3 linked regions of the Drosophila melanogaster genome follow. The protein of the gene in region 2 interacts with the protein of the main gene of each other region in a pairwise test. Each region holds a gene or a part of one and is shown on either strand. Other genes may lie near its edges. The genes, in order: CG13991, CG15710 and CG10948.

Region 1 (3,756 bases), on a different chromosome or scaffold from region 2:
GCGTGGAGCCCACGCTGCCCTCGATGCTCTCGTCGCAGGCCAGCTGCTGCTCCGCATCCGGCATGTACTTGTGCTTGCCAGTGCGCTCCAGATAGAACTGCTGGGTGACCCTCGCCTTGTCGCGACGCACACAATCCTCACGGTGCATGATGGCCTTCAGGCGCTCCGTTTCGGTTAGAGTCTTGGGGAAGACCTTACGTTTCCGTATAATTGGCTTCAGCTCCACGTGTTTGCGAAAGCTGCGCTCAATTGCATCGTCGATGACGGCCACATCGGCACGCAGATCGGCCTCGGCGACCGTGCGTCCTTCGATCTCCTTGATGGCCGCCTCCTGCTTGCGCCGCTCCAGCAGCTGCTCCTCCTCGCGCTGCTTCTTTCGCAGATAGATGTCCTTGTAGCGTGCGGCGCGGCGCCGACGCTCCTCTTCGATCTTTAGCTTGTTGGCCGGCTTGTCCGGACTGCGATACAGATGAACCAGCCGTGGCGATGGCGGCGGCGATGGTGTCTCTATGGGCGTATCCTTGATCGTCGTATTGTAGCGCTGCGGCACGGCCAGGCGCTCCTCCTTCAGCTCGGCCTCGACATTTACCTTGGTGTTCTTCTTCGCCTTTCGCCGTGCCATGTAGCGCTGGACGCGCCAAAAGGTCAGCGCGTTCTGCTGCTCCACCTCGTCCTGCTCGTACGTCGTCTTGTAGTCCATGCCGTGAAAGTCCAGTCGCAGCGGATTCTGCAGATCGATCACCTCGCAGATGTGCGTGTCGGATGTCTCCGATGCGGTGCTGGCGCAGAGATTGTCCCCATGCTTGACCAGCTTACTGATCAGGCTGAACTCCTGCTCCTTGGTCAATGGCTTGTGGCGCAACGCCACCGGATTGACCAGGCAGTGGGTCTTTCGCGGATCCTGGGTAAGAAAGAACTTCTGCCTGGCGGGCGTCAGTTTGGCCAGCTGCTCGTAGTTCTTGGGACATCGGCCAATGCGTGGCCTTGGTGCACCGGCCACAAAGCTGGCCGGGCACGGTCGTCGCCACTCCTCGCCCTTGAAATGGGGCGGCCGCGTGGAGGGCAAGTGCATGGAGTCAACCAGCTCGTCCGAGTCCGGTTCTTTCTCGGACGACTCTCTGATCGATCCGCCGTTTTGGCCACTGTCGCTCTGTGACTTCTTTGCCGTGCTCGTCGTGGAGCAGACACTCTTGCGTAGCTTCACCGTCTCGATGCCATCCCTGAAGTGGGAGTTGCTCGAGCTCTCGAAGTCACGTCCTCTGGCCCGGATAACGACCTTGCCGCACTCGTCGCGCTTGTGCAGCTCCGTGCGCTTGACATTGACGTCGGGAAACTCCAGATTCTGAACCGTCAATATATTGTTCGAGTCGCGCTGACCAAAGAAGTCGATGTTGCGGAACTTTTCGATGGTCCGCTCCTCTCGCGTCTTGCGTTCCGGATTCTTACGCGGTGGACATATCCGCTTGCCGGTAGCTTCAGCTTTCGGCTTTGTCTTAGCTTTGGTCTCCATTACCTCAGTTAAGCCACCAATCAATTCCCTTTCATTTTTGTTCCGAGCACGCATGTTTAATGTGCGATTCACCGTCTCCATGCGGTAGTTCTTCGCAGCCAAGTTATGGTGTTGCATCGACATCGTTAGGTTCTTCTGGCTGCCCAATATCCAAATAGAAATATAAGCTGGCGTATTTTTGGCAAGCAGGAGTATTTCAACAGCATAGGACGTAGTTCGATGAAATTTGGAGCTAAACCTGCCCAGTTTGGCTTTAACAAAAAGCCACAAAACTGTAGAACGAATTTATAAGTTGAAGTTAGTAGAAAACTAAAATGAATTGTTCAACAATGTAGCCTTTTCGAAATTTTTCTGGAAGTTTTTCTTGCTGTTTCAGAAGTTTGTTTTTCGAACGGATTTGAATTCCAGTAGGTTTTTCGCCACCGCCTCCATTAAATTGAGTTAAGTGAAAATTGAATCGGGAGCGCAAAAATCAACCTGACAGGCAACACAAAGGCACGGATGTTGCGAAAATGAAGGTTGGCAATGATTCTCATATTAATGGCACTGATGATGATGATGATGATGCTGCTGATGATGATGACGATGATGACGAGGTGGCGGCCGGGTCTGAATTCAAACTGTTCAACATTTCCGTTTAATACGGCTTCACTTCCGTACAAATTTAATTAAAAACTGAAATTTTTCTTATTGCGTGCGCTGGTTATACAACTGCCCACTCCAGCAGGCTTACACATATGTACATATGTATGTACCACATATGTGCAATCAGAAAATAATGAATAATTTAAAATGTCTGCACTCTAAAAAGTAATTAAATTTCATCACAATATGAACAATAATATTTAAAAGTACAGTAGGGCGCAAGACGATCAAAAACAATCAATCAACTCAACTTTTTCTCGATGAATTCTGATTGTTTTATTTTATATGAAGAAGGAAATTGTTAGTATGTTATAGGTAAATGTTATAGTTATAGAAATCTCTGCTAATAGTGATTAAGTGCAAAATTGGGCACTCACACACGGAAATATGGTAAAGCCCAGCCAAAATGCAATTGCTTTAATCATGTTCAATAAATTTGCAAATCCGCTTAATTCAATTAGTGTTTTGTCTCTGGCTAATTTACAACAGCACTTAGTATTCGACAGAAAGTATCGGAAATTTCCATTGAATATTAATTGACTTTAAGCTTCAAGTACAGTAAGCACTCGAATAACTGATAAACGCATTTTTGGTTAAATTAAATTACGTTTACAATCCAACACACACGCGTGCATTCAAACACAAATATGCAGATACAAGACACATATGTGGGCATTCGAGACTTCAAATTAAATTAACTTTCTTTCATTTTTAGAGGAAAACATGTAAAGCATTCGATTCGATTCACTCCGCCAGCTTCCGTGCGAATTTCTTTTCGACTTTCATTTTTTTTTTCAATTTGCCAGCTAAAACTCACTTTTGTTGTAACATTCATTTTCTTTGAGTAATTTAAAACCGACATCGTCGCCGGAATCTTTGGAAGGCACGGTGGAAAAAAGATAAAATAGGTACGCCTGATGGAAATGAAGACGAAGCTGAAGGGTACATACTGTATGGCATGCTCCTTGGAGACCCAGTTTCCTGAGTATTGGGTTTCACTGACTTCTTTCGGGCAGTAAAATTTGCCATTTTGGTGAAGAGGCGTTTGCGGGAACTTTAAGGATGATGTTTCTATAAATGCACTCCCCCAAATTGCTTCTATCTCGATTACTTACTATATCTTAGGATTTAACATAATCTGCATGTTGAATATCCATTTTCGGAAACATTATAAAAGTATCTTTTAAATAGCAATGTTTTTAATATTTCAGGCTAATCCGAATCAATAAAAGGTATGCCACAGTCGGCTACCATCCAAGTTTTGCTTCTTGAATTTATTGGGTAACTTTTCATATACATTTTTTCACACATGCGGCAAAGAAAGCTTTTCTTTGTCCACCATTTTACAGAAGGATCTATGAGTGGTCTATGTCCTTCGGGCTCTTTCGTTATGTGTGGCCAGTAGACGAATGCAATTGACGCTGCAAATTTCATTACACATACATTTTCCACCGCTCAGACAAGGCAATTTTCTTTTAGCATTACATTGGTTTATGGCCAAGTGCCGGCAAGTCAATCAATTTGAACAAGATGCAACCAAAAGCACTTTTTTCTAAAAATTTGATCAACTAAGGTTAACCACTCAGACGGGTGCCATAAAA
Region 2 (3,570 bases):
ATTTATCCTTGCGCAGGTGGTTCAGTGGACCCGTGTGCTTTGTGGCCTTCTTGACATCGCCCACCTGCAGGTCCTCGTCATCGGAATCCGACCAGGCGGCTTTCCGCTTGTCGCCTGGCTTTGCCTGGCCGGGATTTTCCTCCTGCTCGTCTTCGTCATCGTTCGGCAACTTTTGTCCCACGGACTTGGCTAGATTGGTGAGCAGTCGCTGCCTGTCGCCGAAGAGCACCTTTTCCATGGGCACCTCCACATAGTTGAGCTCCTTGGCCTGCGAGGCCTTTGGAATATAACGTTCCCTTTTGATCTTTGCCGGTTTCTCTTGCTCCTGCTGGCCGTAGAGGGCCTTCAGACTCTGCAGCTCCTCCAAACCGTCGCTGGACTCGTCTGAACTCATCGTGTTCGCTGGAAATGCACGCAAATTCGTTTATTTACGAACTTTTCTTTGGACCGCAAAAAAATATACACGTGCAGCTGGGCGGGAAATCGACTAACGCTTTAAATCAAAAATACCACGCCACGGTGGATTTATCGATAAGTGTGACCACATCGATAGCAGATCGAAATAGATATCGGTGGGATGGGCGCCATAATTTGAAAATTATAAAAAATATTACAATTAAAAAATATATTTATTTAATTTAAAATTAAAATGTGCGAATTTGTATAATCAATTATTAAAACTTTGCACAACTTCTGTAAATGTTACCTCGCTGACCTCGGTGATTTCAATCTCACGCTTTCTTTTGCATTTATCCGGCATCTGGCAAGTTTTCAGATGACGGTGAAGGAAACCCTCATATTTGTACTTTTTCCCACAACGATCACAGATTAATTCGGGCCTTCTCTTCCCTAAGATCTTTTTCTCCTCCTCCTGGGCCTTCAGCCTTACGATACATGCGTCGCACGCGTATCGACGGGTCACTTGGCCAGGCTTAAAGCAGGCCTTGAACTCCGTGCGACAAAAGACGCAATTGAAGGTCTTGGTGATGGTGTACGCCCCTTCGTAGGATTCATCCGTGGACTCGCACGGTATCAGATGGCTCTCCAAATGGGTGCGATACTCCAGATCCGTCCCGAACTTGACATGGCAGGATGCACAGGTGCGATTCATTGATGGGCTTCCATGCAGGAGCCTGTGGCCGATCAGGGCATCCACCGAGGAGAAGATTTTCTTGCAAATGTTGCACTGATGCTGGGACACGTCCGGCACATCCTTCATCATGCGTGCCAAGCGTCTTTGGCAGGCCATCAGATGGACCTTGTAGGCACCGGCCGTGCGAATCACATTAGAGCAAAGCGGACAGTGGAAGCGTTGCGTGTTGTCCTCCAGGAAAACTTTCTCCTCTTTTATCGGCTGCAAACAGGGCGCCACGTACACCTTGGTAACAATACCATTATCCTCCTGAATCGACAGTAGAGTAGCTGGTTCCAGCTCCTCGGAAATCCAGTTGCCAGCACTTGTCATAATCCTTTGTGGGCTCTTGTGTTTCGCCAGTAAGAAGCGTACGAAGAAAGTGAGAAAGTCGCCGGTCATTGTCATTGAAAGATAGAAAGTAATACTCGATACTCGATACTCGGAAACTGTCAGGGCTGGAAAAGAAAGAAAGCGTATACGCGATAGGTATGCCTCAAAAATGTAAACTTTTTAAATTTGTCCAGGCAATGAAATTCGAATCCAACGCTTTCCTCCAAAAAAAAATTAAACGTTTTATTCGGATTACCATAAATGAGGTGGTAATATATTTAGCCATCATTTAGTTTAACCAATTAAGCAAACAATCTTCATGCATTTTTACTGTCTAAAGCAGAAGTATACATACTATATATATTCGGTTTAATTTCGTTTTTAAATGAAGTAGGTCAGCTTCACAGTTTCGAACGCAGCAAATAAATTATGTTTTATGAACCATATTAAAGGCTTCTCCATGATTTCGTCTGTGTTAGGAATTATTTTTAAAATATCATCTTAGAGACTTAAATATAAATTTAATTTAAATTAATTTCTAAGGAAGATAGCTATAGTTCAATGGCAAGCCTGGGCAGAATAAGATCTATACTCGTAAAACTGATTGTTTAGTTTGGTCTTTGAACTGTAAAATGCAGGAACATGTCTTTCGAGTGCCTCTAATCCCCGCCCAACTTCTGGCATTGTGGTAAGCTCCGGATCCCTGCTTTATGACACGCGTAATGCGAGTCAAAATATGCAATTAAACAAAAACTTCTTGACTGGAAAAATATTTGCATAACTTGGGCAAACAAATGTCGGAGCACGTCGTCCTCGTCACCAGTCGACAATGTCGAGTTGTTGTTGAACTTGTCATTACACACGCACAACCAGGAGAGCACCAGTCTCATCCACCCACTAACCACCCAACCACCCACTAATTTACCCATCCACTGGGGGTGGTGCTCTCGCCAAAGTGTGGATTAATAGCTGGGGTGGTGCTGCTGCTGCCAGAAATCAGCGCTCGTAAAATTTACGTAAAATTCATTAAGCGCAACAAAAGACGCTGACTGCGTGGAGCAAAAGGGGGCAGGGGCAGGTTGGAAGGGAAAGGGGGGGTGGCGCCTGCAATCGCTTAGAGACAAAGCCCTGCATAGTTGATAAGACGCGTCCTTCGCGGGGGGAGGACGTTGCTTGTAGGAGCAGTGGGTGTTTAGTTGGGTGCCTGGGTGGGTGACGGCTTGGCATTTGTGGTGCCCTCGAGTGTCTCCTGCCAAGTCAGGCGTCAAGCCGCACGGAGAGCAACCAATTTTTGTCATTTCAAAGGGTCCAGCATTATTGTTGCGCCATCCAGGCGGCGATACACTAGCAAATAATTTTCTATAAATATTAAACATACTTATCATTAATTTTAAGCAGCGCGAAGTTGGGTTGTTGGTATTTCCTCAAAAGATTGTGAATTATTTAAAAAGCATACACTATTCTTGAATGTATTATATGCTTTTTAAACCATTTAGGCTATTCTTTTTAGTTATTTTGAAGTAAGCTATCTGAAATATGAATATTTTTCATTTCAGAATCTGTTGATTTCAGATTAACAGAATATGGGATTCTTTTATATCTTTCTACTAATCCTTTACGCAGAAGCTTTTTTAATCGTTTGCCTTAAGTAATAATAGCTAATCAAGTTCCAAGGATTGAAGTTTGTCTAAGAATCGCTGCATTTTCTGGGAGTGTTCCCCGCCCATTTTCCGCCCACTTCCAATATCCTTGAGTTCCTGTGCAGCGAGGCGCTGCGATTCAGCGCTCCTTAAGTGGCCTGACATTGTGGCAGATCCTTTGCAGTCGCACTCCCAACTCCCCGCCATGCCAGTATCCCCCATTCCGCGCCCTGCATCTCGCATCCTGCGCTGCAACTCCTGCCGACTGACAGATTAGCGTGTTGACATTAAGTTTGTCCTTTGGCAGTGTAGGCTAACATATGGCCTTTAGTTGGCTTTAAGTATCGGGCGCATTTAGCTCCAGCTCCAGCTGCACATGCAAATGCTGATAGAGCCACGCATTACAGCATGTTGCGGTCGCTCCTTGTGGGCGTGGCGCCTGGCCACCTGCCCCTGTGCTCCATC
Region 3 (3,756 bases), on a different chromosome or scaffold from region 2:
ACAAATTGAATAATTTTGTAAGTGAGAAAAATAAACAGAACGAATGCTTCTGAATGGTTTTTGGATGCCTCTTGAATACTTTGAGCGTCCGAAAGCAAAAGGTGGTTCATGATACTTCAATTAAATTCTTGATAACATTTTAGATCTTTAGATGTTTCGACTATTTTAAAGATGTTCATAATTTTCTTGTCCTTTTGCTCATATTTTTTTATCTTTTGCTAGAATAAAACCAATTTAGAAATGTGCATTGTGGGAGGGAAATGTTAAAAAAGTGATGAATGGGATGATGAGTTCTACTCACTTCCAGGGGGCAAGCTGAAGCCCATAAAGCTGGCTCCAGATGCGGCGGCTCCTCCAGCTGCTCCTGCTGCTTGTTGTCCGGGTGGCGGTGGTCCACCTGGATAGCCATTTGGATTTCCATTCGGTTGCTGAAATCCGGGGGTATTAAATCCGCCAGGAACATTGCCGTATCCACCATATGGCTGTGGACCATTGTACGTCTGAGCCGGAGCGGCGTACGGCGGCTGTGGTGGACAATTTGGGGCACATGAAGCGTACGGCGGAGGTTGGACATAGCCACCGGCCCATCCTTGTGGCCCATAGCCCGGCTGCTGTTGTTGCTGCTGCGGCGGCGGCGCTGAAAAACCATACCAATTGGGTTCATTCGACGACGGTGCCTGCGGCTGTTGCGGTGCTGGTTGGTGAGCAGGTGGTGCTAAGACGAAAAAGAGAGGAGTGCCCCATTGGGTTAAACGAAGCGAGTGCGTAGCGTGAATTTCGTGGGTAAGCCAGGTTGCCAATTCGCGTAGCCAGCGTGCCAAAACAAAAGCCGAGTATAGATTGGGTAAAGTGCACGTGCGTTTAACTTACCGATACCCGGATACGGCGGCGGATTGTCGCTCATATAGACCGTATTCGGCGCAGGGCCGCTGAATGCGTCATGCTGCGGCAGCCAGCCATAGTAGCCAGGTGGTGGCTGATATGCCGGCGGTGGTGCCTCATTCCAGGATCCAGCCGGCTGATATGGTGGCGGATCATCACCAGCCAGACCACCGCGGTGGTAGTTGTTCATCGCCGTCTTGGCGGAGCGCAGTAGAGCTTGACCATATCTATAAGAAATGGACTTGTTAATCAGAACATTATATATTCTCTTGAGTCTATTCAGTATTAAGACTTATCAAGAGATCCGTCTAATTAGTTTTAATTTAGGTGCACAATGCACTTACTCAATTGCGCCGCCTGCCTTGAAATGGAGCTTGAACTTGACCTCGCCCACGTAGTTTCCATTTGGCTGAGCGCGAACCTTTCCCTTGATGTAGTTGGCCCCGAAAACGGGCTGTTCGATTTCCACATCCGAAAGAGCAACAAACGGGGCACTGAACGACTGCATCGAATCCGAGGACTTCTTGCTATTGAAGATCATTCGGTGGGAGGTGAGATAAATCCTGCCACCTTTGGAGCCCTTGAAGATGGGATTGTCCTGACCGGAGAACTCCATGGAGACACTGTCGCTGTGGAGCAGTATGCTGAAAGTGTAAAAGCAGTTAATTTGTGTGCCATATTTCTATCTTATCGCTGGAACATAGGCTAATTTCCTTTCAAATCGCCAGCCACACGTCAGTGTTTACATTTATGACGTCAGGGATGTTCAGCATTTTCAGTGTTAATTAAAGGACTTTTCCGTTAACTTACTACTCTCCAGCATGGATGAGCACGCCATTGTTGGCGTGAGCCGTATTAACCGACATGTCTCTTTAATTTTCCAACTGTTTTGAGTCCACAAAAATTTGCAAAAATTTCATACAACTACGTTTTGTTTTTCTAGAAAACTGACGACAGCTGATGATTCATAGTGAAAAGTGTGGCAGCGCCGAAATTATCGGATATCGATACTCTTTTTAGGGTGACCAGTACGAGCAGTCACTCATCTCTAAATATAATTAGTTTTTTTTTATACATACCTGTCGTACAATTACTGGGGCGTTAATATGCGTAAGTGATAAGATAATGATTTTAAAAAGCCCACAAAATGTGTAGCAAAGAAAATGGAATAAATAGAAAGGTCTGGGAAATTAAGAAACAACAGTATTTGCGGTGAATTCGACTTTTATCAGCAGGTGGGACTTACGCCATTTTGGGCACTTGCCACCCCCCAGCTTTTATTTCCTTTTTTTACCTATCGAAAATTGAGGTGCTCAGCTGATTGGTTATTTTGTTTTGCTACCGGCTTCGTTTGGGTTGTTATCTCTTTTAAAGCAAATTACAAACTGTGTACATTTTGCAGTACCGCTCTTTGGGACCATGCCGAATGGCGTCAGTTTGCCAAATCACCCGAATTTCCTCAACCAATTGGCAGCTGCAATTTCCACGGCGGCCTCGAGCACATCTGTCGTGGGAAATCCCTCTTCGCCCCCCAAACAGATCCAGAATAAGATGGCAAAACAACAACAACAACCACAGGGCAGTGCGCCCATGGATCTGGAGAATGAGAACGAACACTCTGCGGATGTGAGCTCCTCGACGATGCACAAGGAACCCAAGTTGCAGGCCACATCCAACTCGCTCACTCTGCCCGATTCGACGCAACTATACCTGAATGGCTTGGTGCACACACCACCTGGATATCTGTATTTTCCGGCCACCCAAGCGGGTGGTGCTACTGCACCCGGCAATCCATCCTCGGCTGCAGGGGGATCCACGCCGGCAGCTTCAGCAAACAGCACCGCCAATGCGCAAATGCTCATGGATCCTACGGCCATGATGGCGGCGGCGATGCAACAAATGCAACAGATGCACTATGCAGCGGCAGCAGCAGCCGGAATGACCACAGAAACCGGAGCTGGACTAGAAGCAACTCTTAATGCGGGTAATGAAAGCAATACCAAATTGGAACCTTAAATAAACATTCTAATAAAAACATACTTTTAGATGGCGTTACACCAGCTGGCCTCAAGGAGGTGATCAAGACCAAGAACTGCATCCTGTTTCCACCTAATCCGAACGCACCTCCTCCCACAATAAGGGAGCGACCACCAGGATGCCGGACGGTGTTTGTGGGTGGACTGCCGGAAAACATAACCGAAGAAGTGATCCGGGAGATCTTCGAATCATGCGGCGAGATCACCACATTGCGCATGTCCAAGAAGAACTTTTGCCATATTCGCTACCGCCAAGAGGGTGCCATAGATAGGGCCATCTACCTATCCGGCTATAGATTGCGTATATCAGCGCTAAATGAACCTCCCAACTTTGGACGCCTGCATGTGGACTACGCACAGGCACGGGATGATCAGTATGATTACGAGTGTCGACAGAGACAGCATCAGAGGGAACAGCGTCATCGTGAGCGCATGTCGATGGACAGGATGCGATCGCAGTCGCCGCCACCAATACCGCACTACACGGATCACGAGGCTACTACTGTTGCGGAGCACCTACGCACCAACGAGACTTTTGTAAAGGCCATTCAAACGATTACCGCGTGGCTGGAGCGGGGAGATTGCACTAAGCGGAACGCCAATGTCTTCTATTCGATGATCCAGAGCACTCATGCCCATGTACGAAGACTCCATGCAGACAAACTGCAACTGGAGGAGGATCTAAAGAAGGCCAGAGACAGCTATCGCAACCAAATGGGCACCATGTCCACGCAATGTAAGTATTTCGGCCTTTCAGCCGGAAGATCAGCTTTCTTAGCTCTAGTCTAGACGGGAAACTAGGCGCCGATCCCACTTTGAAATCCTATTTTTCTGTTTA

The links.
Region 1: the proteins of CG15710 (region 2) and CG13991 interact in a two-hybrid assay, tested with the Drosophila melanogaster proteins (one large-scale study listed by BioGRID).
Region 3: the proteins of CG15710 (region 2) and CG10948 interact in a two-hybrid assay, tested with the Drosophila melanogaster proteins (one large-scale study listed by BioGRID).

What each region holds. Positions count from the first base shown.
Region 1 is NT_033779.5:6,137,426-6,141,181, reverse strand, and holds the start of CG13991 (uncharacterized protein), read right to left. Parts: upstream 1,801-3,756; 5' UTR 1,634-1,800; coding exon 1-1,633.
Region 2 is NT_033778.4:16,347,002-16,350,571, forward strand, and holds CG15710 (uncharacterized protein), read right to left. Parts: upstream 1,527-3,570; 5' UTR 1,466-1,526; coding exon 668-1,465; 3' UTR 613-667; downstream 1-612. Other genes in the region: wcd (wicked), read right to left, coding at 1-394.
Region 3 is NT_037436.4:12,848,268-12,852,023, reverse strand, and holds the start of CG10948 (uncharacterized protein), read left to right. Parts: upstream 1-1,906; 5' UTR 1,907-1,988; coding exon 1,989-1,992; intron 1,993-2,232; exon of another isoform or gene 2,233-2,284; coding exon 2,285-2,866; intron 2,867-2,928; coding exon 2,929-3,654; intron 3,655-3,756. Other genes in the region: Wbp2 (WW domain binding protein 2), read right to left, coding at 302-715, 871-1,109, 1,227-1,526, 1,693-1,748.